Linked DNA regions of Saccharomyces cerevisiae S288C. The gene in region 2 interacts genetically with the main gene of each other region. Each region holds a gene or a part of one and is shown on either strand. Other genes may lie near its edges. The genes, in order: ADE6, PCK1 and PFK1.

The links.
Region 1: mutations in PCK1 (region 2) and ADE6 together harm fitness more than expected from each alone (negative genetic interaction), as found in Saccharomyces cerevisiae (2 studies listed by BioGRID).
Region 3: of PCK1 (region 2) and PFK1, changing one suppresses a phenotype caused by changing the other (phenotypic suppression), as found in Saccharomyces cerevisiae (one study listed by BioGRID).

The regions. Positions count from the first base shown.
Region 1 is NC_001139.9:608,609-620,867, forward strand, and holds ADE6 (phosphoribosylformylglycinamidine synthase), read right to left. Parts: upstream 7,358-12,259; coding exon 3,281-7,357; downstream 1-3,280. Other genes in the region: septin SPR3, read left to right, coding at 1-493; ERG25 (methylsterol monooxygenase), read left to right, coding at 1,956-2,885; membrane insertase COX18, read right to left, coding at 7,720-8,670; transcription elongation factor SPT4, read right to left, coding at 8,908-9,216; VHT1 (Vht1p), read right to left, coding at 9,469-11,250. UniProt on the Saccharomyces cerevisiae protein: Phosphoribosylformylglycinamidine synthase involved in the purines biosynthetic pathway. Catalyzes the ATP-dependent conversion of formylglycinamide ribonucleotide (FGAR) and glutamine to yield formylglycinamidine ribonucleotide (FGAM) and glutamate.
Region 2 is NC_001143.9:626,117-635,865, reverse strand, and holds PCK1 (phosphoenolpyruvate carboxykinase PCK1), read right to left. Parts: upstream 4,715-9,749; coding exon 3,065-4,714; downstream 1-3,064. Other genes in the region: BAS1 (Bas1p), read right to left, coding at 1-15; ubiquitin-specific protease UBP11, read left to right, coding at 687-2,840; ESL2 (Esl2p), read right to left, coding at 5,486-9,073; chromatin DNA-binding EKC/KEOPS complex subunit PCC1, read right to left, coding at 9,661-9,749.
Region 3 is NC_001139.9:966,345-977,584, reverse strand, and holds PFK1 (6-phosphofructokinase subunit alpha), read left to right. Parts: upstream 1-3,850; coding exon 3,851-6,814; downstream 6,815-11,240. Other genes in the region: MPC3 (mitochondrial pyruvate carrier), read right to left, coding at 1-249; YAP1802 (Yap1802p), read left to right, coding at 1,004-2,710; YGR240C-A (uncharacterized protein), read left to right, coding at 2,808-3,008; PEX21 (Pex21p), read left to right, coding at 7,532-8,398; KEL2 (Kel2p), read left to right, coding at 8,898-11,240. UniProt on the Saccharomyces cerevisiae protein: Catalyzes the phosphorylation of D-fructose 6-phosphate to fructose 1,6-bisphosphate by ATP, the first committing step of glycolysis.

The DNA.
Region 1 (12,259 bases), on a different chromosome or scaffold from region 2:
AAGTACCGAGGATTATTATGAAAAATGCAGATCTGAAATGCTAAGAACTAGGCTATTAAAGGCCAGAGATTGCTTAACAACGAAAAGTGTTGACATAACGGAAGAACAAAGGAAATTTTTGGAGGAAGAAATGAACTTCGATGAAATCGAGGAAAACAAACTCAAAAATTACAAGTGCTATGAAATAATTAATAAAACGGTCATGGATAAGGTGGCTACAGAATGGGATCCTGAATTTATAACTAGACAATTAGAAGCTAAGAAAAAATTCAACGAGCTGTCCAACAGAGAAATTTCAAAATTTCGAGACTGGAAAAAGAGCCTATTCATGGAACAAGAGAATTTTAACCAAGAGATTGAACAATTGAATCACAAGTTGGAAAACTTACAACTGGAATGTCAGGACTTGGAATACAAGCTGTTAATCGGAAAAAGTTCCAACAGCCATTCCACAGATAGTGCTACTTTAGTAAACGTTCACATCAAAAGGTAGTATTAATTAAAAAAAAAAAAAAGCCAATAATTTCGCGCAAGCTTTGCTCTACATAATAAAAATACAATTAGGATAGAAATGAATATTTTTTTAGCGGCAGTTTTACCATAAGTAGCAAAACCCTAACAATACAATGTGAGACTAAAGTAAATCCGGGTAATACAAAATACAATTTTTTTTTATTCTTCACAGCGTTTTTTCGACGGAGGAGGGAAAAAAAAAAATTGTATTTAAGGCATCAAATGCGCGACATCATATACCTTTGTCCGCTGTTATCATACCTTGAACCTCTACATTTCAGCCTAGCGCGCGCAAAAAGAAAAAAAAATCATAAGCAAGAGTGGTACGGTAACCACAAGGCAATGCAAAGAAGGGTGCGATATCAAGTGATGTTACCTTCCTTTACTTTTTGCCTTTTTCTTGAATTGTCAATCCGCCCTTTTTTTCTTTTCAGTTTTTTCTCCTTTCATCCGTCTCGTTTATCATAATGATGATTTCACTTATACCTATATGTTTTTTCTGGCATCTCTAATGTTAGGATGTGAAGTTTAAGTACTCTCCATTCAATGAATACAATTTTTGACAATATCTGATTTTACTATGATTAAACAGACCGAGGGAGAAAAAAAAAAGGAACTAAAAAAGGGCCTACGTAGAAGATGATGTAAAAGTAGATTCGCATCTGAGAATGTTTTCTTCAAATTTTTCTTTTCGGCCTTGGCGCAGAAGACTTTCTCTTCGTCCGCGTCGTATAGGAAACAAAAAAGTGTAAAAAGTAAAAATCGGTATATTACGCAATCCATTCGTTACCCGGTGTAGTCACGTGCGGGTGCGGAGGGCAGCCGTTTAAACCCGTTTGGGCCTTGGTCCGATAGAACCATCTCGCAGGAAAGAGCAGAGCCAGTTATCGGGTGTCGTTTACGCCCAGATGTCGTTTAGCCAGCTCCGCAACGGCCACTGCCACTACCACTGCCTCCCTTCGTATACGGGACACAGAGATCGTATACGGTAAACGACTAGCACTAGGACAATAGCAACTAACAATGACCGATAACAGTCAGCAACCTCAAGGCACCTGGCACAAAACCGTCGAGGAAGAGGCCCTTTGCCACCGTATCGCATCGCTTTCCCACCAATTTTTTTTTTCTTGCTTGCCTCGCCTCTGCTGTGGTCGTATTATTATTATTCATTCTCTGCGCAGTTTAAACTATATACACACGATTAATCCGTTATGCATGTACATTTTCTTGTATGCGTACGCCTGTGTATGCATACTTCTATATAATATATAATACAGGAGGATCTATTCTTTTTTTTCTTCTTCTCTTCTTCTCTCCCTTTTTTCTCTCTCTTCGTTTCTTTCCTTCCAGTAAATCTTTATATTAGTTGTAACTTTTTCTCTTTAGATAGTAGCATAGAGGACTAAGGAAAAGTAGTACAGCCATAAAAAAAAGAGGAAAAGATGTCTGCCGTTTTCAACAACGCTACCCTTTCAGGTCTAGTCCAAGCAAGCACCTACTCACAAACTTTGCAAAATGTCGCCCATTACCAACCTCAATTGAATTTCATGGAGAAATACTGGGCCGCATGGTACAGTTACATGAACAATGATGTTTTGGCCACCGGTCTAATGTTCTTTTTATTGCATGAATTTATGTATTTCTTTAGATGTTTGCCATGGTTCATCATCGACCAAATTCCATACTTTAGAAGATGGAAGTTACAACCAACTAAGATTCCAAGTGCTAAGGAACAACTATACTGTTTGAAATCCGTTCTTCTATCTCATTTCTTGGTCGAGGCCATCCCTATCTGGACCTTCCACCCAATGTGTGAAAAATTAGGTATTACTGTCGAAGTTCCATTCCCATCTTTGAAAACAATGGCTCTAGAAATTGGTCTATTCTTCGTCTTGGAAGATACATGGCATTACTGGGCTCACCGTCTATTCCACTACGGTGTCTTCTACAAGTACATTCACAAGCAACATCACAGATACGCTGCTCCATTCGGTCTTTCTGCTGAATATGCTCATCCTGCTGAAACTTTGTCTTTGGGTTTTGGTACCGTTGGTATGCCAATTCTTTACGTCATGTACACTGGTAAATTACACTTGTTCACTCTATGTGTATGGATCACCCTAAGATTATTCCAAGCTGTTGACTCTCATTCTGGTTATGACTTCCCATGGTCTTTGAACAAGATCATGCCATTCTGGGCTGGCGCTGAACACCACGATTTGCATCATCACTACTTTATTGGTAACTACGCTTCCTCTTTCAGATGGTGGGATTACTGTCTAGACACTGAATCTGGTCCAGAAGCTAAGGCCTCCAGAGAAGAAAGAATGAAGAAGAGAGCTGAAAACAATGCTCAAAAGAAGACTAACTAAGAGAAGAAACATACTTCAAAAAAAAAAAAAAGAAAAACAACAAAAAAACGTATAAAATGAAATAAATTTCGAACCGCTTTTTTTCCTTTTTTTTTTTTTTACTTTGTTTGACCTCCCCTAACTCTTTCTTTTTACCTTCACAATTGTTTATTTTAATATATGATTTTTAAATTAATTCAGGTTAATTCTAAAAACTATATTGCAATCTTTTAAATATATGTATACACGTTCATTACCACGTATACATATCCATATATATATATATATATATACATACTATTTATGATAAATTTTTAACAAGCAAACCCATTATTAAATGCTATAAATAAAAGACAGCTTCTTTCTAATTATTATTCAAACTTAAAAACTACATATACAAAAACTACAAAAATCTTTCAACCGACCCATCTTCTGGCAGATCTGAATAATCTAATCCATGGACCGTATCCACCCCACTCTTCGTATTTGCCCTCTGGATACCAGGAATTGGCCTCCAATCTGCAAACTCTTTCAGGATGTGGCATCATGGCAAGCACTCTACCATTTGGTGACTTGATACCGGCAATACCATTGGTCGACCCATTGGGGTTGAAGGGGAACCTTTCGGTGACGTTACCGTAGTTGTCCACATACCTTATACAACATAAACCATCCTTTTCGAACTTTTCCAGTTGTTCAGCGCTTTTAGAAAATGTTGCTTTACCTTCACCATGTGCGACAGCAATTGGCAATTTGGATCCTGCCATGCCATTCAAGAAAACAGATTCCTCGCTAGAATTGTCCTTTTCTTGAGATATTTGCACCATACATACACGGGCTTCATATTGTTCACTAACATTTCTTTCGAAACTTGGCCAGTTTTCACACCCGGGTATGATATCTTTTAATCTACTCAAGAATTGACAACCATTACAAGCACCAAAAGCAAATGTATCTTGTCTTTCATTGAAGAACTTAGAAAATTGCGAGCGCACACCTTCGTGATACAATACGGATTTAGCCCAACCCGCACCTGCACCTAAGACATCACCATAAGAGAAACCACCACATGCGGCAAGACCGATGAAGTCATCCAAATGGAACCTACCTTCTAGCAAATCTGTCATAGTGACATCCACTGAGTTGAATCCAGCTTGTTGGAAGCACCATGCCATTTCCATTTGACCGTTCACACCTTGCTCTCTTAAGATAGCAACCTTTGGCCTTTGACTGGATAATTCTAATCCGATCTTCATATCATCGGCTGGGTTGTATGTTAGGGCATACTGCAAACCGGGATCTCTATCGTCCGTGATACTGGCAAACTCTTCTTCGGCTGTTTTTGGATTGTCTCTCAATTTCTGCATTTCGTAAGATGTCTTACTCCAAGTTTGCTCCAATTCAGATCTCGAATTGGCGTAAATTACATCATTTGTTGTGGAGTTAATAATCTTGATTTCCTGGCTTTGGAAGGATGGCTTACCAACAATAGAAATATATTCTTTAGCAACTCCGTTCTCGTTCAAGATTTTTTCGAACTTGCTCAAGTTCTTAGCAGAAATCTGGAATACTGCACCTAATTCTTCATTGAATAGGTTTGTTAATTGACTTTCTAGGTCTCCACCGTCAATGTTGATTTCTAAGCCGCATCTGGAAGCAAATGCCATTTCCAGTAAAGTGATTAGTAGACCACCATCAGACCTATCATGGTAGGCAAGCACTATATCCTCCTTTTGTTGATGCAATTGGATTAAACTTTCCAAGAAACCCTTCAAAATGGCGTTATCATACACAGTAGGCGACTTGTTACCAACTTGGTTGTAAACTTGCAACAAAGCAGAGGCACCTAGTGACTTAGTCTCTTGTTTAGCTGATAGATCAACCAAGACAAGGACAGAATCATCTGTGTTTCTATTTAGCAATGGAGTCCACGTTTTACTAGTGTTGAAAACTGGTGCAAATGCTGTGATATTCAATGACAATGGTGCAGTAACTTCCTTATCATCCCATTTCATCTTCATGGACATGGAATCCTTACCAACAGGGATAGCAACACCTAATGCAGGACATAAATCCAGACCTAATGCTTGAACGGCTTCATATAACTTAGAACCCTCACCTTGATGAGAGGCTGGAGACATCCAGTTAGCAGATAGCTTGATATGATTTAAAGATTTCACATCAGCAGCGAATATGTTCAATAAAGATTCTGCCACAGATAATTTAGCGGAAGCAGATGCGGAGATTAGGGCGTTAACTGGTTTTTCACCCATAGCCATGGCTTCACCTGTGGAAATTATTGTCTCACCCAAAGAGGTACCGGTAACACCGACATCCGCAACAGGTACTTGCCAAGGACCAACAAATTGATCCCTATCAATTAGACCTGTGACGGATCTGTCACCAATAGTAATCAAAAATGACTTTGAGCCAACAGATGGTAAGTTTAGAACTCTTTGAATAGCATCTTGTAGGGAAGGAATTTCGCTCAAATTTGCCTCTGGTAGATTTAGTGCTTCAGTTATGGTTTCTCTTGACATCTTTGGAGGCTTACCAAATAAAATTGGCATTTCTAAATCAATTGGAGTTGTTTTCAAAAGAGGATCTTCTACAATCAATTTTTGTTCAGCGGTTGCGTGACCGACGACAGCAAATGGTGCTCTTTCTCTCTTACAGATTTCCTCGAAAATGGATAAGTCTTGAGGAGAAACACCAAGAACATAACGTTCTTGTGATTCATTACACCAAATTTCCATTGGTGACATACCAGGTTCTAAGGAGAGGACCTTTCTAATATCGAATTTAGCACCCAAGTCATTGTCATGAACCAATTCTGGCAAAGCGTTGGATAACCCACCAGCACCAACATCGTGAATAGATTGGATAGGATTATTGTTACCTAAGGCAACACAAGCGTCAATCACTTGTTGGCAACGACGTTCCATTTCGGGGTTCCCTCTTTGTACAGAAGCAAAATCCAAATCGGCGGAACCTTCACCGGAAGCTACAGAAGAAGCAGCACCACCACCTAAACCAATCAGCATAGATTGACCACCAAGTACAATTAAACAAGAGCCTGGAGTTATTGGGGTGTTCTTCAAAGCAAATTGAGGTCTAACAGTACCGAAACCACCCGCAATCATAATTGGCTTGTGGAACCCTCTGATTTCCTCCTTCCCTTGGTGATTCAAAACCTTTGTAGTTAAAGTTCTGAAGTAACCGTTTATACAAGGTCTACCAAACTCATTGTTAAATGCAGCTGAACCCAAAGGAGCCTCAATCATAATATCTAATGCAGATGCAATATGGTAAGGCTTACCAATATTCAACTCCCAAGGTTGTTCATTACCTGGTATCAAAAGGTCGCTGACAGAGAATCCACTCAAACCACACTTAGTCTTGGAACCTCTGCCTGTAGCACCCTCGTCTCTGATTTCACCACCAGAACCTGTAGCAGCACCTGGGAAAGGAGACACGGCTGTTGGATGGTTGTGAGTTTCGACTTTGATAAGTAATGGAATTCTTTCCTTTGTAGAGGTCCATTCCTTTGTAGTTGAATTTGGTGCAAAGAAAAAGGCATCATTTTCACTATCCAAAACGGCTGCATTATCAGAATAGGCGCTAATAGTATATTCTGGGTTTAATTTATGGGTATTTCTAATCATTTGAAACAAGGTGAATTGTTGTTTTATTCCATCAATGGTCCAATCAGCATTGAAGATCTTGTGACGACAATGTTCAGAATTAACTTGAGCGAACATAAATAACTCAACATCAGTAGGATCTCTTTTCATAGTTTCGACGAATGCATGAATCAAATATTCCATTTCTCCACTATCTAGAGCTAAACCCAATTCCGTATTAGCTTTGGATAAAATATCCTTTGGAGACTGTTTAGTGTCCTTAGGAGTTAAAGGAACGTGAACTAATGGCTTTGGCTCTTCATGTGTGAAAATACTCATCGTATTTGGTGGTTCGGTCAGATATAATTGTTGTGTCATCCTATCGTAGACACACTTCAATGAAATATCATTTAGATTTTCCAAAAGAGGGAAACCTGGAACAGTCTTTATGAGTAAGGCTAAACCTCTTTCAATACGTTGAACTTTGTCTTGTAGCCCGCATACATGAGCAATATTAGTAGCCTTGGAAGACCAAGGAGAGATAGTGCCTGATCTAGGAACAACTCTAATCAAATATGTGTCTTCGCCAAGAGCTGAACTGGGTAAATTATTAGCGACAGCATCGTTTAATTGTCTTGCTAATGGATCGTTAGCAATATCTAAAGCAGAATCGTAAGTCAACAAAACTTCTAGCAATTTAGTGTCCTGTTCAGACAAATTTTGAGCGATGCCGTTGACATAGTGAATGTAACACGAACGCAATTCATTGATGACAGAAGTACTGTTTGTATAGGAGTTTATATCTTTAATTAGATTATCGACTCTGAACTGAGATAAGGCCTTGGGACCCGGCAAAATATAATCAGTCATTGAACTTGACTTCTTTTGTTATGGACCTGGGAGGATTAAACTCTTAGGGATATCGCTAAGATAAAAGTAGAAGAGAAATATACTTCGAGGCAGGGACAGCCAATTATTTAAATACGTATGTCAAGGTTTTCAAAGAAAGAAAGAGTTAAATAGCAAGATATATTGCATTTATTACGGCATCATCTGTTTAATGAGTCCTCATTCAATTTTTTTTTTTTTTTTTCAATTTCAAGTTCGACGAGAAATTTGGAAAAACGGGTCAGCAGGAAAGAGTCAGGAACGGTTGAAGGATATTGAAAGTCATTTTTGTTTATTTACAAGCTGATGTAGAATTACATATCCTATCTATGCGTCAGCTTCACTCATCGTTGGTAAGGATAAATCCAATTTAATATGATATTTTGCACCAGGGAGAATAGCTGTGATGATATCCAATAGAGCGAAAGAAGGAATGGAGCCTGTGAGGACATTGCTAGCATAACGACACAACCGAGTCTCGATACGTTCAGTATACTAGTCATTGCCTCTTGGACTCTTGTCGAATTCCTTGAAATTGTCTTTATACCTTGCGATGACAAACTTGAGCTAAACATCAGTCGGCCATTGAGTTCCACGTTTAATACCGCCAGAGTCCCCACCAAAATGGGCGCTAGTAGAGGCATTGCTACTAGCGGTGAGCTTAGATCAAAGGAACTGAAACCCAGTGCGGAAAACCAGGAAGGATAAAAACTTTCTATAAGCTGTGTCTCTGTTAGGGTCCTGATGCCCATGGAGACTGTGACCCAAAGAGGAATTTGCACCATTGGCAGTAAGGCATTTTTCCATAGGGGTACATTGTACTTCTTGAATAATTTTTTCTGCCTCTTTCTTGTCTCTTTCACTGCCAATAGTGTAATTTGTTCTGGTGTCAAAACGCCAGCATTCTGTAGTTGTAACGGCATGAAAGAACCGTTGGAGCTAATTCTGGCGGCATTTCTAGACTTTTTATTAGTAACGGCTGCCAGTCGAAGTTTAATAATGGGCGTTATTGGCTGTACTAATTTCCTCAGTTCTTGTTGTTTCAAAATTCTCCTCCGCTGCCATATACTGAATGGCAGCGTCACGAGGGTTCTAAGGGTCATAGTAGTCAAAGGAACAAGCACTATCCATGGTATATGTGAGGCTTCATGCACTGTTAAAAACGTGTCCGCTACACTTTGAAAAAGTGAAAAGCTTCTCTTTGTACTTGGATTAGTCCTACCATATCGCAGACCGACTGAGCTGCACGAGAATGACGCAAAACCATTTTGACGATTGGCTAACCTCTTTAACATAATGCCATACTTTATCTTGAAATTTTCCTATCCTTGGACCTTTTTTTTCTAATGAAAGTCTTTTTAGCCTTAGTTGAATTACTGGACGGTAGAAAAATTGGGTTTGCCAGCAAAAACAAAAGTGCAGAACGTTAAATAAATGAAAGCATAAACTCATATGCTAGAATATTTACTAAAAAAAAAAAAAAGTAAAAAAAATTCATTACTATTATACATGTGATATCAGAACGGAAGGTTTTACTCAACTTGACTGCCATCCCTCGGTTTGTAGTGAGGCAACAGCTCCACAACCTCAGCTGGTAGTCTACCATCGACCTTGATGGCGTACATACCAGCTATACTATGATCTACGCTCAGCCACTTTGCTACCCACGACTTAGTAGGCTTACACATTCCTACGAGGCCCTCGAAAGAAGGCGACGTACATTCCATTGTAGAAACACCTGCCTCTTCAAAAATACCCTGACAGTTGGGACAACCATCTCTATTAAACTCATTTGTGGTCTGCACTATGCCACACAGCATACAGGCTCTTTCACTAGACATCTCTTACACTGTACCTCGTTCGCTTTTGCCAAACTGAATGTGGCCAGGTGTAATTATTACACAGTACATCCTTCGAGCCCTTTCTTAAATTTCACTTTTTCACTCGATTTCACTCATAGAACGTATAAGGTGACCTTTATCAACATCGAGATTAATTATAGATAGAAGATGATTAAATTATATACATGAATATATTTATTTGAGGTATGGTGTCTAAAGCGTAATATACCTATCTACTTCACGTAAATTGGACTACGAGGACCGCTTTAAATAGTAGTAACCATCTCTTTCCTCCATATTTTTCTTTACAAATTCTGGAAGCTCTTCACCCTTATTACTATCATACAAGATGATACCATTACCTAGAGCATGTTTCTTTTCGTTTCTCTTGTAAAAAAAAAGTACAACAAACGTCCATAAACCGTAAATAGCACCAAAAATTAAGCTCACGGTGTAACCAGTCTTAAAACGTGGTGACTCCACGGTAGGCCACGCCAAGGTAGGAATCCAGGCGTAAGTGGATTGAGAGAAGGAATAAATGGCGATCCATGTAATAGCCTTCACCTGAGGATCAAACCTTAAGAAGTCATTAATAAACGACCATAGACAAGGCGATGCGGCCACACTGAAATACGTGGTGAAGAAAGCGTACCATTTAGCTTTCGAAGGAATATCCCACTTGATAAGTAAGGCACAAGAAACGGTATTCATTATAGCAGCAAAAACCATGAATATCCACTTACATCTAAATAAATCGGCACCAAAGGCACAAAAAATCACATACGCAAATCCTAAACATGCGGGTATAACACTCAGGTTGTTCACTTGGGCAATGGAGTACTTTGTATTAGACTTTAACCACAAAGTATATGAACCACTATACGCAGTCATGTTATTCCACGAACATGTATCAAAAACAACAAGTACCCAGAATGCTGGAGTACAAAATACTTTCTTCCAAAGTTTTCTGCTCCATAATGGGGCTAGCTTACTTTTATCAACACCATCTTTGATTTGGTTCCTCTTATTTCTGGCCCTTGCAATTCGTATTTCTTCGTCAGTCAGAAATAAAGAGTAACACTTAGATGGTACACCGGGAATAACAAAAAAACCAATAATAGCCGTGGGAAGAGAAATTGCAATGGCATCGATCAGAAACATCCATCTCCAGCCTGCTAGACCATGGACGCCGTTCAAACTTTTGAATATGCGACTTTGCAGAAGTCCTGAAGTCACGGAACCCAATTGTTGCCCACAAAAGAATAAACAGACTCTTGAATTAATTTCATCTGGGGCATACCAACAACCTAGTATATATTGGGACACTGGGTAGTAAGCAGCGCCAAAGGCACTTAAAATAAATCTGTAAGCCCTTAGTTCGGCTAGTGAGTTTGCCCTATAACATGCAAATGTGAACCAAGTCCAGCCCAAGTCCATTACAGGCAAAATAATATGAGAGGGAAATCTTGGTAACAAATACATAAATGGTAATTGGAAGACAATGGCACCAACATTAGCAATAGTAGAAGTGTAAACGTAATCATTACCTTTCATGTTTAAATCTTCCTTCATATTGGAAACATATGCGTTAGTGTAGTTATTCAAATCCACTGACTTGGACCAACATAACATAAAAAAGTATAAAGCAATAATAATGTCTAGCTTGTAAAGAAGCCGTCTTTCAGCCTTGGTTTGAGTAGTATGATTAGGATACAAAAACTCGTACCACTTACGTGATTTCTTGTATTCCTTATTAACACGATACTCGAATTCATCAAAATATTTCCACCATTTACGCCCAGCTTCATCTCTCACTTCATATGGCAAGTCATGCCTTAAATTGTGAGGATGAGGTTCTACAGCTGTAGTTTCTGCCGTAACGTCTGTCTTCGAGGACTTATCTACGCTATGATGTAGCTCCTCTTCAGCTATGATACTGGAGTTAGTATCGTCTGAGTATAAGTACTGATCATCTTCGGGTAGTTTTCTCAAATGTGGGAAGTAGCTCCTCCACGATTTATTCGAAATTGTCATTATCTATTGATTTGTGTCGGTCCTTTTTTGAAAATTGAAACAAATGAAAAGGCGATTGCTCGTGGGTGTAGAGCCTTTATATATAGTTATGTTATAGCCGTAAGAGTCATGCAGATTTTTGGGAATGGCTATCATCAAACTTAGCCTTGCATCTCATATTTCGACTTTTTTTTTCATTTCACACATTTTTTTTTCCTTTCACAGTTGGGTGAAAGAGTCTCGGAGGCGGTACGGCGCTTTCTGTGTAAATCATCCTAAAGTGATTCATAATCTCAGAGCCATTTCGGGTGAACTAATGATGATTTTCTAGTAGACTACGGCAGTATCTTAGCTGACGCAATTGTAGCAATGGAGGCAATCATGTTAGTAAAGGACATTTTAGTTGTAGGAGCATAGGATCGACAGGCCATGTGAAAGGCGTACTAGCAAAGATTGAAGTAATGAGAATAATTGACGATGATTTTAATTTGAGCTTTTCAATGCAGCCGAATTCAGCAGTAGTTGCAGAACCGGACTAACACTTGAAAAAATCCCACGAGCCAGCTGCCGTCTAAGGATATTGTAATAAAGTTGGGCTTAAACTAAAGTTTTTATATCTTGGTTGTAAGGTTGTAATCATTCGTCTCAAGAAGAACGTTGAGTAATCATTAGTCCTCCGCATAAGTAGGTTGCCAATAACTTGTTCAGCAATGATGGTTGCAGCATATCCTCGCTAACGTTTTACTTACCAAATATTTTTTGCTGGTGATTAAGAAAGCTTCTACCATAAGAACACTATGTCAATTTAAAGCAATAATGTTTTCCTGAGTGTTCTTGAGCCTCTGTAAACGAATCATCAATTCAAGTATTTTTATTTTATTGCAAGGATATCGCCAACTAATTATTAACCGGCACTAATGATAGAAATGTTTTTATTTCGAACTACAAAAAGGGCATACATGACGTGGATATATGTAAAGGGTTACTAGTTTACTTATTGATGTAATATCAAGAACAATGTGCTTTTAAA
Region 2 (9,749 bases):
ACTTATATTCGACATTCTCGATAAAATGTATTCTGCGATAAAAAAAAAAGAGCAAAAACGCTACAACAAAAGTTTTAAACAAAACTAATTTTGTTTACCCCACTAGAGATCAACAATTGTTGCAGAGAACGATTCAAATCAGCAAACCGGATTATCAGAAAGCAAATAATTAAACACAAAAAACGTACACTAGTCCTTTATAGTAAACTAATAAGAAAAATTTCTTATTATATAAATATAGCTGGTTAATTTCGATTGCTTTAAAGTTTCCTGGGGCTTTATTCTGTGACTGGACCCTATTTCTTCTAAAGGTCTTAACATAATTACTCATTCTCATTTTTTATTTTTTTCTTCGTCTGGCTCATCGCATTGTTCGGACCAAAAAAAAAAAAAAAAAGAAAAAAAGAAAAAAAAAAATAGTTTCTCCGTTGCACATCGTCAAAGGTGATTTCCCCACATCTATTATAAAGTTTTTCCGGAGTGCTTAAAAAAGGGATTGACATTTCTTCGAGAATTAGTTGAGAAACCCTTTTAGATTGTGCGCTGAGTAATCATTAGGTTGATTATAAGCTCTGAAAGGTTACTGCTACTGCTAGTAGTCTTTCAGGATCTTCAGTAAACTAAATAACCGTGGCATTGATCTTACTTTCCGTTTTCTTTTCGCTAAATCGGAAGTCATAAAGACAATGTTATTAAACCCAGATCAAATTCTAAACCTAGTTCGAAAAGTATATGAAGTAGATATTAAACAGTTTTATTCGCAATTACGGCTAAAGAACTTAAGAGGATTGTTAGACCATGCTGCTCATCTGTTTAATGTTTACCTGAGGGATTTAGAAATCAATCAGGAAATGGAAGCTTTGACAGCATTTATTATTGGTTGTTATTATCTGTACCTTATTATTCCACAATCGTTACAATTCCAAACAAGAAATAATCTCTACAGCAGTTACGCAAAGCTAAAAAACGACTATCAAGACGAACACGTGATGGGTTATGTGTTAAAAGTGGTAAGAGATGAAAGTACTGTTATTGTTGACCGGTATTTAGCGGAGTCAAACGGAATTTGCAGGACCATAAAAAGAAAAAGAGCCTACTCCTTACCGCTACGGCCTTTACCTGTTCATATGGCCTCTTTGTCAATACATAACAAGTTTGATGGCTCACTACATGAAATACCGAATGAGCTAACAAAACCAACAAATGATAATTCGAAAGAGGACATAGTCAGGGAAAGTAATCAGATAGCATCAAGTAATAAATTGGAAGCTGGTTCTGAAGTGGCGTACTACACAAGCAAAGAAGCATTATCAAAACCCTCGTATTTAAAACTCAGTACTGGAAAGGATGCATTATTCAAAACGCTGTCTAGTCCAGCAACTGCTCCCCCCGTGCACTCCTTGGAGGTTTCGTCACAAATCAGAGATTCTAGCCAAGATTCTTCATCCTCTTTATCCAAGGTGGAAAAGCCAAAGGAGGAAGAAGGAAAGATCGAGGCCATAGAATCTTCGGCCCCGAAAGCTTACAATCTACCAGTAATTGAAGATTCTAATGATCTGTTATCAGAGTTATCTATTACTGGCCTGCAAAATCCATGCAATACATGCTATATTAACAGTATAATTCAATGTCTGTTTGGCACTACCTTATTTCGGGATTTGTTTTTAACCAAGAAATATAGGCTATTCCTCAATACTAACAAATATCCGAAAGAAGTCCAACTTTCCCGCTCGATTTACGTTTTGTTCAAAAAAATGTATTTGAATGGAGGAAGAGCGATTATACCAAATAGATTCTTAAAAATGTGCAAGAAGTTAAGGCCAGATTTGAACATCCCAGATGATCAACAGGATACACAGGAATTTCTACTAATAGTTTTAGCACGAATACATGAAGAGCTCTCGAACGAAAATGTTGTCAAGTATTATCCAGATCTAGTGTCATATGATGCGAATGCTTTACAAGTTAACCCATCCAAATACGAGAAATGGTACGAGAGAAATGTTATTACTGATGGTTTATCTCCAATTGATCACATATATCGAGGGCAGTTGGAGAACATTTTGAAATGTCAGCGCTGTGGTAATTCTTCTTATAGCTATTCTACCTTCTATGTTCTGTCACTTGCGATTCCAAAACTATCATTGTATAGCTTTACAAGTAAGTCGAGAAAAATTAAATTAGAGGATTGCATAAACTTATTTACAGGCGATGAAGAACTGTCAGGCGACAATGCTTGGGATTGTCCTAATTGTAGAATTACTGATTCTAAATCCAAAAAAGAAGAAATTACTAGCCAGAAGAAAAAATCAACCATATTCGGTTTTCATTCCAGATCAAGGTCAAAATCACCCCACCATCATCACCATCATCACCATAGCAGCGATGATTCAACAAAAAATGCAAAGAAGCGAAATTCTAAAAAGTTAACCACGATTAAGAGTTTAGACTTTATAGTTTTACCTCCGATACTTGTCATTCATTTATCAAGGTTCTATTATGATTTAACAAAAAAAAACAGCACTGTAATAACCTACCCTTTGATATTGAACATTATTTTAAAGAACGGTAAAGTGATTCGATACAAGTTATATGGAACGGTGAATCATTCCGGTAACCTTATCAATGGACACTATACTTCTGTTGTGAACAAAGAAAAGAGCCATGAAATTGGACTGAATAGACAAGTTTGGGTTACATTTGATGACGATTATATACAGCAACATCGCAAGGATCGCAACAACTTTGAAGCCGGCAAAACAGAAATGTCTAGCGATGAGGTATACGTCTTATTCTACGAAAGAATGGATGAAGAGAACTATGAAGAAGAATTCTGTTAATTGCATCGGATTTTTGAATTTTCCTTATGTATATACATAAATATGTTTGAAAGATTAATTAGAAAAACATGTGCTTGTTGATCCAGTTTCAGTTATTAAAAAAAAGCTGAAATGGGAAGAGAAAAAATTGACAAAATAATATATTACGAACATTTATGATGTCGAAATAATTCTAATTCTTTTTTTTTTTTTTGGATTGAACATATCGAACGAACATGTTTCGTTTACTCGAATTGAGGACCAGCGGCTAATACATCTGGTGTGGCTCTGTCTTGATAAATCTTGAAATTTTGAACAAACAAGTTGGCCAAGTTGGTAACTGCACCTCTGTATTTGGATTCACCTTGAGACCAGTTTTTAGCAGGATTCAAAAGCTCAGCTGGAACACCGTTAACCTTGGTAGGTACTTGAAGATTGAAAATCGGTAAAGTTTCGTACGTTTCATTGGCTAACGAACCATCATGAATAGAATCCAGAATGGCCCTTGTGTACTTCAATGGGCAACGTTTACCACCAGATACGTAGGAAGAACCAGTCCAGCCGGTGTTGATTAAGTACGCATTAGCTTTATGTTGAGACATCTTTGTAGCTAACATGGTTGCGTATCTAATAGGGTGCAAGGCTAGGAAGGGTTGTCCGAAACAAGATGAAAATGTTGGTTCAGGTTCAGTGACACCTTGCTCAGTACCAGCCATTTTAGAAGTGTAACCAGAGATGAAATGGTACATGACTTGTTCAGGAGTCAATTTAGATACTGGTGGTAAAACACCCGAAGCATCACAAGTTAGCAGGATAATGTTCTTTGGATGAGAGTCCGCCAAACATGGAATCTTGGCACTTGGAATGTAGTCAATTGGGTAGGCACATCTAGTATTTTCAGTAATAGAAGAGTCGTCATAGTCGACTACATGCGACTTCTCGTCATAGATAACGTTTTCTAATACAGAACCAAACTTGATAGCGTCGAAAATTTCAGGCTCCTTTTCGGCAGATAAATTAATACACTTGGCGTAACAACCACCTTCGATATTGAAGACACCATGGTCGGACCAACAATGTTCATCATCGCCGATCAACAATCTATGTGGGTCTGCGGATAAAGTGGTTTTCCCGGTACCACTTAGGCCAAAGAATAAAGTAACGTCACCGTTTTGAATACCCTGGTTGGCGGAAGAGTGCAAAGTTAAAACGTTATGGTGCACAGGCATCAAGTAAAACATAACTGTGAAAATACCTTTTTTCATTTCACCGGCGTATTCGGTACCTAAAATGATCATTTCCATTGCTTTGAAGTTAATTTCTATAGTACTCTTTGAAGACATATCCTGGGTGTGTAAATTGGCTGGGAACTGACCAGCGTTCCAGACAGTAAAATCAGGTTCTCCAAAATGGGCTAATTCTTCTTCTGTAGGTCTAATAAGCATATTTGTCATGAATAAAGCGTGGTAAGCCCTGGCACAAACAACGCGGACTTTGATTCTGTATTTTGGATCCCATCCTGCAAATGCATCGACAATATAAATGTGGTCTCTTGTTCTCAAGTAATCTGCAGCTCTTTCACGGTTGATAGACCATGTTCTTTCAGAACATGGTTTATTGACCGGACCCCACCAAATTTCGTCTTTCGAGGTAGGTTCTTCAACAATACGTTTGTCCTTTGGAGATCTTCCGGTTTTAACACCGGAATAAGCGATCAATGCACCGCTTGATGAAATGACAGTTTTATTTTCTTTTAGACCATCTTCATACAAAACGGCAGCTGGAGCATTGCGTCTGATGGTGGTGACTTCGTCACTAAGAGCCAATTCTTGTCTGATTTTTTGTTCAACTTCGGAAGTAGATCCTACTGTAGCATTCATTTTAGAAGGGGACATGTTGTTATTTTATTATGGAATAATTAGTTGCGTGAGTTTGGTTTTTTTTTTTTATTTTTGAGTTAAACAAATATAATTATTGTTTAAGCTGAAATAAAGATATATATGTATATCTGGGAAAGGCTGTTGGTTATCTGTCTTACTTCTGTATATTTAAGAAGTAAGTAGAAATACTGATTACACATGGAAGAGAAGTTACACACATTACAAAGACTTCTCTGCCCTTATATACCTTTTTTTTGTGGTCTTCTATACTCTGCCCAATGTTGCTATCCCCAGCCAAGCCTTACTTAATACACAAACGTACCATTGTCCAACCAGAAGCGTCTAAGCTTTACAATCCTGTTTGGGCCCTTTATCCGCCTATCCATAATGTTAAGCAGCCTAAAACTTGCTAGTCTAGCCGGCATCTTTCCCTTGTATAACTTAAAATACCCGGAGCTTCAGTGATATGTAGAACACAGCCGCGCCGGATGAAAGGAAGCTCGGTTTTTTCCTATTGTGAGTCAAAAAAAGAAAAGAGATGTATCCAAATTAGGAAATCCAGATCTCCATTCACCCGTCAGCGTCCCGATATTCTCCGGTGGATCGTGTGGGATATTCCGATTTTTTCCGACAAGGCCCTGGGTGGGGGCTCTGCCCAAGTGCTCTGGTCAGAATTGTATGGAAGTCAGTTGGTTATATGCATATAAAAGTATATATTAAAATTAAAGTGTTATTTATGGCGGTGAGTAGAATTGGTGTTGTTGTAAATGTACGTACAACGAACGATCAGTCTGTACACAGATGGCGCTGTTCGCCAAGTTTTGTGCACAAAGAAAACACAAATCGTGTGCTTAGCGTTTTTATTTCTTTTTCTTCTGCTTTTTTCTTCATGGCGTCGTCGTCAGATATCAGAACTACGTAGTTAAAGCGGCGAGGGGAAAGACGCGGTTCGCTGGCACTCTCTAGTTTTTCTTGCGCCTTCATTACGGATTCGATGACAAACTCGTCGACATGTGTCCTCCATGTTATTTGTTCTTCAAATTCTAAGTTCTCTTCGATGTGTGTCGCTACATTACCTGTGAATCTTAGGGGTAATACTTTATTCTCATAGTAAAGCTGCCTTATAGTTATTATACCTCTTGTGGCAGCCTCCATGACGTTTTCGTCCTTTGACTTTCGTAAAAATCTCAGCTCTTGGAATGTGGTTAAACAAATGGCAAATCTTAGCAGTCTGTTTTGAGCTAGCTTGAATATGCGTGCGGAATGTCTTAGCCAAGAAGTTGCATCAAAGACAAAGTATGTAGTTTTAAAATCTATTTCTGGATAATCAGATTTTATACATTCCAGAAATAGACCTTCATTTTCCTTTTCGCTGTTATAATTGATGTTGTCCTCTATGTTAGTGTTGTTGCTGTTCGGGACATACCATGTAGTGTAAAGCGAGGCGCTTAAAAATTCTCCATTTTTATCGAAGCACGTATAATCGGCACGAAGTTTCTTGTAGCCAACATAGTGGAAGATATTATCGCCCTCGTTGACACTTAGTTCCGGCACAGCGTGCAGATCAGTGTTGTTTTCACTTCTTGCCTCAGATATGTCAATAATACTTTCCAGGGCACCTAATACTGGTATATTGTTGTGTATATTGCACAAGGGTTCGAGTTTGAAGACTAAACTTCCCAATATATTAGTATTTTGAAATGATGAACGATATATCAACGGATCGTTTCTGATTATTACGCCTATTGGAAAACTTCTTGACAGCTCTCTAAAAAGAAATATGGTTCTGCATGCCCTTTTCCAGAATTTTTCACCATTTTCGTCCTTTTCATCAAATATAATTCCATCTGTCGGCGAATCCAATGCCATATAATCTTTTATACCGATTTCTTGAAAATTATCTTCACTACTAATCGAATGCGTATTCTTTTCGCAAATTGTGTCAAACCACAATGTTCCCCAACAGCCCAAAATTTCTGGTAATTCTTCGCCTTCATTGAATAATTCTAAAAGTTCAGAAAGGCTTAATTTATCGTAGTCATCGCATAAATCTCCAATAATAGAGTTCGATGTTTGGTTATCCAATAAATACACAATCAAAACATTCATAAAGGTAACCATTGTATCCCATGGAAAAGCTCTCTTAACAATAATCATCCAGAATTCTTTACTAACTGGATCACTCAATTGGCTGCTTTTCAAACAAATTGAGATGATAAAGTATATCCATGGTAAGATATGGGGTAATGCGATACCTAAAGGCCCATGTAGAAACTTCCGAAGCACTATTATACCGCATTTTAATGAGGTCATATTTAGAAACTTTAATGTTTCCAACCATGCTTCGTTTGTTAGCATTGAAGGCAGTATCGGACGCCTTAAGGTATCGATGTCATTGAAGAATTCTGCTAAGAGATCGTGATCAGATATGGAAGTGGTAGAACTCATTATTTCATCGTCATCTTCGTTGTCATTTCGGCTATTGCCCGTTGAACTTTCCGTCACGGAGGAGTCATTATTTGAAGATTTTTTACGTTCCTTCTTGTCTTTCCTCTCCTTCAAATACTTCGGCAATTCAAATAAAATTGCAAATGGGTTTTTTGGCTCTCCAAATCCAACAATTTGTAAAATATGCGATTGTGCAAAAGAGGGGCCATGCCTGAAGAAATACTTGAAAAAATCAGGATTCTGAACAAACATATCTTCTGCGTTAAAAATGTTACAACCGTTTGCATCTATACCGAACTTTTCAATGAAATAGCTCAACACGACATTTTGTAAATCTGGACTTTCTAAAAAACTGGGTAATAGCATGGCTTCACTATGTTTCAAATACTCAATTAATAAAGAGTTTCTAAGATTGCCATTATTTCTTTCTACAAAGGCTCTTTGATAAATGTTATCAATAACCAATTGCATATATTGCGGAGACGGAGTGAATGTTTCCTGACAAAAGACGCTTTTCCCCAAATTTACAAAAGCTTCAAGAGTGTTTTGCTGTACGGTAGACATATGATAATATAGCTTTCCATGATTGTATATGTATTTCATCGCCTCAGTATACCAATGCTCAGCACTCAGTTTCCAATCGATAAAACTCGAGGGATATAGTGCTATAGCCATTCTTGATAAGTCTCCTAGTCTTTGTAACCAAGTGATAGAATATTTGGACGGTATGTCAGAAATCATAGTTGATAATGAAACAAAGACGTGAGTGATAAATTGGCAGCAAACTTCAGGATCCATGAAGTTAGAAAAGTTCTTTAGAACGTCTAGAAATGTTATCGTGCCGTAAACCCATAGCCTTCTTTCGATCCTATATATTTCGACAATTTCTTGGCCGATGACCAAATCGTGAGGCGGTTGGGATGGTAGTAAAGCTGTAGTGATAAAAGTGACATAATTGTTAACAAGATCTGTATTGATTTTATAGATAGTCCACAAGCTTTTTAGTTCGGTGGTTTGAGAGTTTGTTAGTTGTGAGCACCGCTCCTGCAATTCAATTTCTTGCTTAACTATCACTTTGTACAATTCTTGTAATTTTTGTATTAGAGCAATGCCCGATCTCTTATTACTTGCTGGCTTGCAGGAATCATTTTCTTCCCTTTCATTACTATCATCACTATTATTGTTATTATCACGGCTGTTGCTGTTATTGTTGTTGTTGTTGTCGTCGTTGTTATTATTGTTATTGTCATTGTTATTGCTACTGTGATTGTTATTATTGTTGTTGTTGCCACTGTTATTGAAATCCTGATCTCGGGCACTGTTATCCTTGTCGTTGATTTCTTGACTATTATTAGATTTACGCTGGAAACCGCCTACAATTTCACTCTTGGACTGTTCATCTGACCCTGCATCCACGAAAGCTAGCGAATTCTGTGAAACGTTCAGTGGTTTTATCATATTTTCCGGGCTCCATTTCTCATGTGCAATGCTTCCGCCGTTTTCACTAAATGATTTCGAAATCAATGCAGAGGATTGAGTAATTCCAACTGAGTTTTCCCTTTTCAGGGCCCTTTTCGAACTACTCACATATCTGGGAGAAGGATTTTTCTCTGATTCCTTGACTGTTGTTCTTTCTGGGTAAGTATGGTCATTATTTTTTCCTTCGATATCTGAAAATCTAGGTCTACTTATTCGCCTCTTACTGCTATTTATATCATCGTAAACCGAGTTTGAATTTTGCCTTTTAGAAGACGGATTTAACACTTGAAAATCTGATAAACTCAAATTTGCTGTGGTATTCCGTACCAACCTAGGGAAGGATGGAGTGGCAGATGGCCGCTGCTGCTGTGATGCAGACAGAAACATCGAACGAGTATTTTCATTTTCAGAAAGCCTTAATGGATTCTGAACAGAGGTTTCTGGCATAATATAGTGGATTGTGAAACTCCTTCGGTCTATATATGAATCTCACCCGTCTGTAACTCTGGATCTAATTTGTTAGTCGTTAAGCGTTGATGATTCAACCAATATGCACCAGGAAAGAAGGAAATCAATATAAACAGCTGTTCCTCAAATTTAGGGAAAAAAAAAACAAAAAAGCGGAAATTTAACAGCGATGGGAAATAGGCCAACACCAAAGCTCTATATCCTCTTTAAAAAAGACGTCTGAGTTGATATTTGCCAAAGCTTTTATTTGTTCTCTCTTATCTTACTCCAAGGGCCTAGCATGACTTCTACAATCCAAGAAAAACGCCAAGCGCCGTCACCCTTTCATATTAAAACTTTCTGCGTTACCCAGCTAATGGGAGTAAATAAGGCCTCATCTACCATCCACATGCTTGCTTTACTCAAAGCAAACAATTGTTTATTTACACGCAACCCCAGGACATTTAGCAACTATACCTCTCTTTATTTTTTTATCTTAATGCTATTTTAAATATTTAAGTTATGATGTGCATGAATGCCGTCTAGATACTTATACTATATGTACACTAATACGGTGTTCTAATTATTTATGATAGAACGTCCATGGCTTCCACAATGGTTTTGATACTGTCTATGATACTGCTAACTCCCACTCGAAGCACCCTATCATCAATGC
Region 3 (11,240 bases), on a different chromosome or scaffold from region 2:
AAAATTGACGGAAGCTAACAGATAGTTCTTGGGCTTGATGACAAACGACCAACGCGTCCAAATCAGTGCCGTCGCTAATAAAGATAAATTTTGTGCTCCTGATACCTTCTCAACAGGCCTCTTAATATCATTTAGCCCTGCGAAGACCAGCCCCCACTTCAAAGTTGGGGCCCAGAAGTGTACTGTTTTAGGGCCTGTTTCACTATTCCAAAATCTTCTAAAGGCAAAATTAAAAGCTGATGCTGACATTAAAAATATAGGTTTGTGTTTCTATGTGTCTTGAATGCTTATGCGTATAGTCTTAAAGACTGATTGTATTCTTTTTTTTTATATGAAGTATTTCCGCCGTAATGAAAGGGAAAAGAAAATTTTCTCCAATACTCCAATTGCAACGCACCATATTATCCGGGAGAATACACGCACGCAGCCGCATATATATATATGATGGCCTTAGTTTTGTTTGAGCCTTTCGGTTTTGCGTGACCAAACCAGGGAGCGGCTCGCTTGACCCGCCCACGGAATGACGTAAAGCCGTTAATAGCCGATTGGCGGGAGAAATAAAAGCGGGGCACTCCCAAGATGAGGGGTAATCGGGGTAATAATATCCAATCAAGGAGGAAAAGGGCCAAATGTTACCCGACTATCCAAACTGCAGGGTAACCTTTATTTTTTCTTTTCTTTTACTCCTACCATTTTTTTTTTCAGATTTTTCCCAGTATGGCTTTGTTTTCATTTTGCTTTGGTGGAGGGATAGATTAAGTTTGCAGCTGCGTAGAAAAGTTTCTTTTCTACATTCGAGGAAAAAGTCGACTTATTAGTCTGGTTAACTTGTTATTAGGGCTTCTTGCTTGAGTTATAATTTTAGAAGGAGAAAAAATAAATCTGTAGCAGGAGTACCAATTTGCTACGCTTGCTAACATCTACGAGAGTAACAATATCAAGCATACAAGCGCGACTGTCTCGGCTACCCCTATAATAGATATAGAGGCGTGTTTGTGAAACAATGTCTTCATTATATACTAAGTTGGTTAAAGGGGCGACCAAAATAAAGATGGCCCCTCCAAAGCAAAAATATGTGGACCCTATTCTCTCGGGCACTTCGAGCGCAAGAGGATTGCAAGAGATTACCCACGCATTGGATATAAGGTTGTCTGATACAGCCTGGACCATTGTTTATAAGGCATTGATTGTGTTGCATCTGATGATACAACAAGGCGAAAAAGATGTCACGCTAAGGCACTATTCCCATAATTTGGATGTTTTCCAATTGAGAAAGATTTCGCATACTACTAAGTGGTCTTCCAATGATATGAGGGCTTTGCAGAGATACGACGAATACCTAAAAACACGTTGTGAAGAGTATGGCAGGCTAGGTATGGATCACCTACGAGACAATTACTCCTCGCTAAAGCTGGGCAGTAAGAACCAGCTTTCAATGGATGAAGAGCTAGATCATGTTGAATCATTGGAAATTCAAATTAATGCCTTGATAAGGAATAAATACTCTGTTTCAGATTTAGAAAACCATTTGTTATTGTATGCATTCCAATTGTTAGTACAAGATTTACTAGGTCTGTACAATGCTCTTAATGAAGGTGTCATTACACTTTTAGAATCATTCTTCGAATTGTCCATTGAGCACGCAAAAAGAACACTGGATCTCTATAAGGATTTCGTGGATATGACAGAATATGTTGTTAGATACCTAAAAATAGGAAAAGCTGTCGGTTTGAAAATCCCCGTTATCAAACATATTACTACAAAGTTAATTAACTCCCTTGAGGAGCATTTGAGAGAGGAAACAAAAAGACAAAGAGGTGAACCTTCTGAACCGCAGCAAGATAGAAAACCATCTACGGCCATTAGCTCTACCAGTAGTCACAATAACAACAGCAATGACAAGAATAAGTCTATAGCGCAGAAGAAACTGGAACAGATAAGGGAACAAAAAAGACTGCTGGAGCAACAATTACAAAACCAACAGTTGCTCATTTCCCCCACGGTCCCACAAGATGCTTACAACCCATTTGGATCACAACAGCAAGATTTAAATAATGACACCTTTTCATTCGAACCAACCCAGCCACAAATGACCGCTCAAGTCCCTCAACCAACTGCTAACCCCTTCTTGATACCGCAACAACAGCAACAGGCTTTACAGTTGACATCTGCGTCTACAATGCCACAACCAAGTGAGATACAGATTACTCCAAATTTGAATAATCAACAAACTGGGATGTATGCTTCTAACCTTCAATACACCCCAAATTTCACCGGCTCAGGGTTCGGCGGATACACGACCACCGAGAACAATGCAATTATGACCGGCACTTTAGATCCAACAAAAACGGGGTCTAACAACCCATTTTCGCTAGAAAATATTGCCAGAGAACAGCAACAACAAAATTTCCAAAACTCCCCAAATCCTTTTACCCTCCAACAAGCACAAACCACCCCGATTCTTGCTCATAGTCAAACAGGTAATCCATTTCAGGCTCAAAACGTGGTGACATCACCAATGGGCACATACATGACGAATCCCGTGGCCGGTCAACTTCAGTATGCCTCTACTGGTGCGCAGCAGCAACCACAAATGATGCAGGGTCAGCAAACAGGGTATGTTATGGTTCCCACTGCGTTTGTCCCCATCAATCAACAACAGCAACAACAGCAGCATCAGCAAGAAAATCCTAACTTAATAGATATATAGTGAGCGATAGATACTACAGTTTTTTGTTCTCAACAGGCCGTCCTTGCATATTATAAACTCTGATTTTTAGGTAATCCCTTCCACCTTTCTATATTTTATGATACTATCCAAACATGTAAATTTTACGTACCATACATATAACCTCATCTATAATTTTTACCCTGATCTAACTAACTTTGGCATGCCTGGTTCAATCTACGGGTTACAGTCATCGTTGAAAACGATGGAAAAACATGTCGAGATTCCTCAATCCATACACCATTATAGTCCGTTTTATCAGCTTCCACTAATTTTTTAAATCTCAGTTTCTTCTTGAAATTTAGCATCGTGCATGGGATAGCGGCTAGTAAAAAAGAAAATTAATATCTCATTAACAAAGTTATTGTACATAATCCGGTACAATATTCTTCAATGTACTCTCTAATATCGAGCACACTGGCAATATTCATGCACACATTCGCCTAATGCTGACGAATGCTTAATCAGTGCAATTACTGCCACCCTCTTGATATGTGGGCTAAATCCTTTAGGACCTGTAAAAAATGCAATCACGTTTTCACATTTTTTTTTTTCTTGCGGAATTGCGGAATTTCCCAGTTGGCAGCGTTATCCGATTTGAGATCGACTTGCATCAACCTTTGAAAAATATAAGGATGAGAAAGTGAAATCGGTTTTTTTTTTCCATTGTCGTCATCAACATGATTTTTTAAATAAATAAATACGATTTTTTATTTTTTTTCCCTTCTTTGTTTTTGTTTTGCTTATTCCCATCTTCATTATTAAATTCTTCCGCTCTTAATAAAGGAGTTTTTTTATTATCTTCTTGTGTAATCATCCTTTTTCTTTAATTTTCTTCCTTTTCTTTTTCTCTTTACTGGTTTTTTTACTTCTTTATTCTCAACCATCTAAAGAATATTATTGCTTTCTACCAATAAAATCTGTTAATTCTATTTGGATTGTCGTCTACTCAAGTCTCGCCTAGTAAATAAACGATAAACAAATTTGAAGTAAGAATAACAATATAGGGAGAGAAATTTTTCTATTTTTAATTTCGAAACAGGTACCAAAAAATCTAAGTTCACTTTAGCACTATTTGGGAAAGCTTTTATATAAAAAATCTGAAACAAAATCATATCAAAGATGCAATCTCAAGATTCATGCTACGGTGTTGCATTCAGATCTATCATCACAAATGATGAAGCTTTATTCAAGAAGACCATTCACTTTTATCACACTCTAGGATTTGCAACTGTGAAAGATTTCAACAAATTCAAACATGGTGAAAATAGCTTACTATCTTCAGGGACTTCCCAAGATTCCTTGAGAGAAGTTTGGTTAGAATCTTTCAAGTTGAGTGAGGTTGATGCTTCTGGGTTCCGTATACCACAACAAGAAGCTACTAACAAGGCTCAAAGTCAAGGTGCTCTATTAAAGATTCGTTTAGTGATGTCTGCTCCAATCGATGAAACTTTCGACACCAACGAAACCGCCACAATCACTTATTTCTCTACTGATTTGAACAAGATTGTCGAGAAATTCCCAAAACAAGCCGAAAAATTGTCCGATACCTTAGTGTTTTTGAAAGATCCAATGGGCAACAACATCACCTTCTCAGGCTTAGCTAATGCAACCGATTCCGCTCCAACTTCCAAAGATGCTTTCTTAGAAGCTACCTCCGAAGACGAAATCATCTCTAGAGCTTCTTCCGATGCTTCTGACTTACTAAGACAAACATTGGGCTCTTCTCAAAAGAAGAAGAAGATTGCTGTCATGACTTCTGGTGGTGATTCTCCAGGTATGAATGCCGCTGTTCGTGCCGTTGTTCGTACAGGTATACATTTCGGCTGTGATGTTTTTGCTGTTTACGAAGGTTACGAAGGTTTACTAAGAGGCGGTAAATATTTAAAGAAAATGGCTTGGGAAGATGTCAGAGGTTGGTTAAGTGAAGGTGGTACTTTGATTGGTACTGCTCGTTCTATGGAATTCAGAAAGCGTGAGGGTCGTAGACAAGCTGCAGGCAATTTAATTTCGCAAGGTATTGACGCTTTGGTTGTTTGTGGTGGTGATGGTTCTTTAACCGGTGCTGATCTTTTCAGACACGAATGGCCATCTTTGGTTGATGAATTGGTTGCAGAAGGTAGATTCACTAAAGAAGAAGTCGCCCCATACAAGAATTTGTCCATTGTTGGTCTTGTCGGTTCCATCGATAATGATATGTCTGGTACTGACTCTACCATTGGTGCTTATTCTGCTTTGGAAAGAATCTGTGAAATGGTTGACTACATTGATGCCACCGCTAAATCCCACTCCCGTGCCTTTGTTGTTGAAGTTATGGGTAGACATTGTGGTTGGTTGGCCTTGATGGCTGGTATTGCTACCGGTGCCGATTACATTTTTATTCCAGAAAGAGCTGTTCCTCACGGAAAATGGCAGGACGAATTGAAGGAAGTGTGCCAAAGACACAGAAGTAAGGGTAGAAGAAATAACACAATTATTGTCGCTGAAGGTGCTTTAGATGATCAATTAAACCCTGTTACTGCCAATGACGTCAAAGATGCTTTGATTGAATTGGGTCTAGACACCAAGGTAACCATTCTAGGTCACGTTCAAAGAGGTGGTACAGCTGTTGCTCATGACAGATGGTTAGCTACTCTACAAGGTGTCGATGCTGTTAAGGCCGTTCTGGAATTTACCCCTGAAACTCCTTCTCCATTAATTGGTATTTTAGAAAACAAGATAATTAGAATGCCATTGGTTGAATCTGTGAAGTTGACTAAATCTGTTGCCACTGCCATTGAAAACAAAGATTTCGATAAGGCAATTTCTTTAAGAGACACAGAATTTATTGAACTTTACGAAAACTTCTTATCCACTACCGTTAAAGATGATGGTTCCGAATTATTGCCAGTATCTGACAGACTAAACATTGGTATTGTCCATGTTGGTGCCCCATCTGCTGCTTTGAACGCTGCCACCCGTGCCGCAACTCTATACTGTTTGTCTCACGGCCATAAACCATACGCTATCATGAATGGTTTCAGTGGATTGATTCAAACCGGTGAAGTGAAGGAACTATCATGGATTGATGTCGAAAACTGGCATAACTTGGGTGGTTCCGAAATCGGTACGAACAGATCTGTTGCTTCAGAAGATTTGGGTACCATTGCTTACTACTTCCAAAAGAACAAGCTAGACGGTTTGATTATTCTTGGTGGTTTTGAAGGTTTCAGGTCCTTGAAGCAATTGCGTGACGGTAGAACCCAACACCCAATCTTTAACATTCCAATGTGTTTGATTCCAGCCACTGTTTCTAACAACGTTCCAGGTACTGAATACTCACTTGGTGTTGATACCTGTTTGAACGCATTAGTCAATTACACTGATGACATCAAACAGAGTGCTTCTGCGACAAGAAGAAGAGTCTTCGTCTGTGAAGTCCAAGGTGGTCACTCTGGTTACATCGCTTCTTTCACTGGTTTAATCACTGGTGCTGTTTCAGTGTACACTCCAGAAAAGAAGATCGACTTAGCTTCTATCAGAGAAGATATAACTCTATTAAAAGAGAACTTTCGTCACGACAAAGGTGAAAACAGAAACGGTAAGCTATTGGTTAGAAACGAACAAGCTTCTAGCGTATATAGCACTCAATTGTTGGCTGACATCATCTCTGAAGCAAGCAAGGGTAAGTTTGGTGTTAGAACTGCTATCCCAGGCCATGTTCAACAAGGTGGTGTTCCATCTTCTAAAGACCGTGTCACCGCTTCCAGATTTGCTGTCAAATGTATCAAGTTTATCGAACAATGGAACAAGAAAAATGAAGCTTCTCCAAACACTGACGCTAAGGTTTTGAGATTCAAGTTCGATACTCACGGTGAAAAGGTACCAACTGTTGAGCACGAAGATGACTCTGCTGCTGTTATCTGTGTTAATGGTTCTCACGTTTCCTTCAAGCCAATTGCTAACCTTTGGGAAAACGAAACCAACGTTGAATTAAGAAAGGGTTTTGAAGTTCACTGGGCTGAATACAACAAGATTGGTGACATCCTGTCCGGTAGATTAAAGTTGAGAGCTGAGGTAGCCGCTTTAGCCGCTGAAAACAAATGAATGATTGCAATGAAAAGTTTAAGTTAAGCAAAAGGAGGTAAAAATGGCATGCACTTTAATTTTTATACAATCGTTTTTTTGTCATAAGACTTATTTATGTATCTGTTGTTTTTCTTTTTCTATCCTCTATTTTTGTCTATTTGTCTTTGTTTTACTCTTTTTCATTATTATTTCTTTATATAATTTTTGTACGATATGATACACATAACAATGAGCAATGAACATATTTCTAATCCTAACCATTAGATATACTTTTCAACTGAGGAATAATGGCGCCTTGATTAAACTAAGCTATGGAATTTGCATTATTCAAGTTTTAGGGTGTGCTTAATCTGCGTTGACAATGGTTCACGAAGACGACATCGGCAACTTTGCTGTACTACAAATTGCTCTGAATGTGAGGCTGATCCACATCATAGTGAGGCGCGCTACCTTAATTGTAGTCGTATTGTCATCGGTCTACGAATACCGTTTGGTTTATTTGTCGGCCTTTTTTCTTTCCGTTTCTTTTTATCTTTCCGCTGGAAAAATGGAAACTAGTGCCGATAATCGGAGATGGGATGACTAAATATTTCTTTAAGGCATTGGCAATGTTCAAACCTCTGATAGAACGGCAGATATATATTTAAGAGAATATAGTCAAGGTTGACGCCGCATACTTTGGTTTTGTTTCAAAAAGAAACAGGTGAAAAATTATAAAGACCAAACTAGAATACCATGCCCAGTGTCTGCCATACAAGCCCGATAGAAAAGATTATCCAACAAGGGCATCGCATACAGAATGATTCCTTAATACCGTCAAAACGCACCAAGCTGGCCCATACGGAATTAACAGCACACTATGCCACTGAAGACTCGCATGTGGAAAAACACTTTTTGCATAATGGTAGTAATTTTGACGGCATTGACAATGTAAGGTATCAAAATCAACCCTCTCCATTAACCTTCATTACTCCAAACAACACTGTAGATTCCAGTGATTGGGTTCCGCAGTTCTCGTCTATGAAGATTGACGATTCACTAGAGTTTAGCTCAGAATATAAAAGGTTGTATTCCAATTACGAGTCACAGCAGCGCCTGAATTCAAGCAGACAACACTTACCTTTTAAGAATTGTATGATAAGGAAGACAAGTTGCACTTACCCACCTCAAAAGACGCTTCGACAGCAACGCCAAGGAAACCGGGACAACCCAACGGATGCGTTTCAATTCGACGCGGAGTTCCAAGTTTTGGAGAGAGAAATTCAAAAAGAGCGGTACGAGCCCATAACACGTCGGGACGAGAAATGGTTCGACCAAGATCAGTCGGAACTGCAAAGGATTGCCACAGATATAGTAAAATGCTGTACTCCACCGCCTTCGTCTGCATCCTCCTCTTCTACTCTTTCCTCCTCTGTCGAATCAAAACTATCTGAGTCGAAGTTTATTCAGTTAATGAGAAACATTAGTAGCGGTGACGTGACTTTAAAGAAAAATGCAGATGGAAATTCCGCAAGCGAGTTATTCTCATCCAACAACGGGGAACTGGTCGGAAACAGGCACATTTTCGTCAAGGACGAAATTCACAAAGACATACTTGATTGATATAGGCAGTTTCTACAATTGTACCTCTTGTAACTACTACATACGTTGATATATGTTTACAGATAGCTAAGAATATCAAAATCATGAATATGTGCCCTTATGTGTTCTCTGCGCTGAGGAGTATCGCAGCTTCACTCCTGCAGATGCATGCCCTACCTACTGTCATGCCCATCTCTCTCGTTTAAAACTTACTACACCTTTTTTGTGCATGGATTGTGCTGATGTAAGCTGCACGAAATGACACGCTTGTGAATTTTTTCTTCTCTTGGGAGAAACTGTGAAGAAAAAAAAAAAAGCTTCGCAAAACCCGAATTAGTCTCGAAGGAAGTAATTACCTTGTGAAAGGGTCTTTTGGGATACTAATTTATTATGAAGTTTGGTTTTGGTGTTGCTTGCTCTTTTTTTTTTCAATTTTGAAATGCGTACACGTGAATTTTAGCATAGGTTGTAACAAAAAAAAAAAATGATTTGGATGAGGCAGGCAACCCCTTAAGTAGCTATGGTACCTTTCAAGCTGACAAATAAGGTACCTACGGACACGGGACCTTCTCTGATTTCAGCGCAAAGTGTACCCAGACCAATAGTTTTTATGGATAATCGAAACAATACGCGAATAGTAACACCTACGCTACCTCCAAACCAGCATAGAGGCATATCAGGCGCGTCGACTGCTCTTCCCTGGTCTCCAGAGAGTAAGAATACAGGGAAGTATATTTGGAATAGGGTCAAACTAAAAAACTCTCCGTTTCCCCGTTATCGACACTCTTCCTCATTTATTGTTACGAATGATAACAGGATTTTTGTGACCGGTGGACTTCACGATCAATCGGTATATGGGGATGTCTGGCAAATAGCCGCTAACGCGGATGGTACGAGCTTTACTTCCAAGAGAATCGATATTGATCAAAATACACCTCCCCCAAGAGTGGGACATGCCTCTACTATATGCGGTAATGCCTATGTTGTGTTTGGTGGCGACACACACAAGCTGAATAAGAACGGACTGTTGGATGATGATCTTTATCTTTTCAATATTAATTCTTATAAGTGGACCATACCACAACCTATCGGCCGTAGGCCGTTGGGCAGGTACGGCCATAAAATTTCTATAATTGCTAGCAACCCTATGCAAACTAAACTATATCTTTTTGGCGGACAAGTAGATGAAACTTATTTTAACGATCTGGTCGTCTTTGATTTATCATCATTCCGTAGGCCGAATTCTCATTGGGAATTTTTAGAGCCTGTCGGCGACCTGCCTCCTCCTTTAACAAATCATACAATGGTGGCATATGACAACAAATTATGGGTATTCGGCGGGGAAACTCCCAAGACAATAAGCAATGATACATACCGCTACGATCCAGCACAAAGTGAGTGGTCTAAAGTTAAAACCACAGGAGAAAAGCCTCCGCCAATACAAGAGCATGCTAGTGTGGTGTATAAACATTTAATGTGTGTGTTAGGCGGTAAGGATACCCATAACGCATATTCCAACGATGTCTATTTTTTAAACTTATTATCGCTAAAATGGTATAAGCTTCCCCGTATGAAGGAGGGCATACCTCAAGAACGCTCTGGACATTCTTTAACCTTAATGAAGAATGAGAAGCTTCTTATCATGGGTGGCGACAAAACTGACTATGCCAGCCCAAATATTCACGATCTACAAACTTCAGAAACTGACCAAGGCGAAGGAACTTTACTGTATACCTTAGATTTATCATCTTTGAATGAGCTATGCCCAGGAATAATGTGTGAATCACTACATGCAGGAGAAAGTTTTTCTAATAGTCTTTCCGGGGGCTTTACACCCTCTAAGTCTACCGAAAGTGAAAATCAAGAGATAATAAACATTCTTACACCAAGATTGCCTGATAGCAAAGTTTTGAGTTATAATGATATTGATGAAGGGGCTGGAAGTTACTCCAGCGCTTTGGATGATAAGGCATTTGAACGAAAATCAGATAGGGAGGAAAAGAAACCCCAATCTTCCAAAGTTGATTCAAGCATCAATAAGGAAAGTCCGGGAACTGGTATCAAAGTATCTAAAAAAAATTTCCCTGTTCTACGAGGACTAACAGTGGATTCAGAAGAGTATGGCTCTTCTTCATATAAGGACACATCATGTCAAAAAGGAATTCCCAAAAATCTTTTTGATGATTTAAACCTGAACCTACAAACATTACGTCTCGAAGCTCAACAAAAGGAACTTGAAACTGCTAGACATATTTCACAATTAGAAAAGGAAGTCCAGAGACTCATGGTAATAAAAGAAGCTTCAAAAGATTCAAATTTTCAAACAGCACGGCTTAAAAATCTAGAAATTCAGAAAACCTTTTTAGAATCTAGAATTAATGATTTAAAAAATTTATTGATGGTCAAATTATCTCAGGCAAGTAAACTCTGTGACCAAATTACGATTCAAAATAATGGACTTAAAACATGCTCCGAACATGTCACTATTAAAAGGGATATCATCGATCTTGAGAATAAATGTGATGTTTTGAAGCGCCAGAACGAAATACTTGTAAATAATATGCAAAAAATAACCCCCGAACTTCATACCTATTTGAACGAATCGTCCTGCTATCTGGGTAAATTATTAAAAAGCTATCCTACCAGTGCACGGCCACCTTCAAGTGAGAAAGATAATCAAATATATGAGAAAGATTCGCTGAACAAAATAGAAAAAGTAATAAATGAAATGCACGAAACCGTGCGTGCTAAAGAGAAATTGCACCTTGAAACTCAGAAGCTTAATGATGAAAGAGATTCTTTGCGGGCTAATTTACTCGACAATAACAACAAGTTGGATGCGCTAAGAAAACTCTCTGATGGA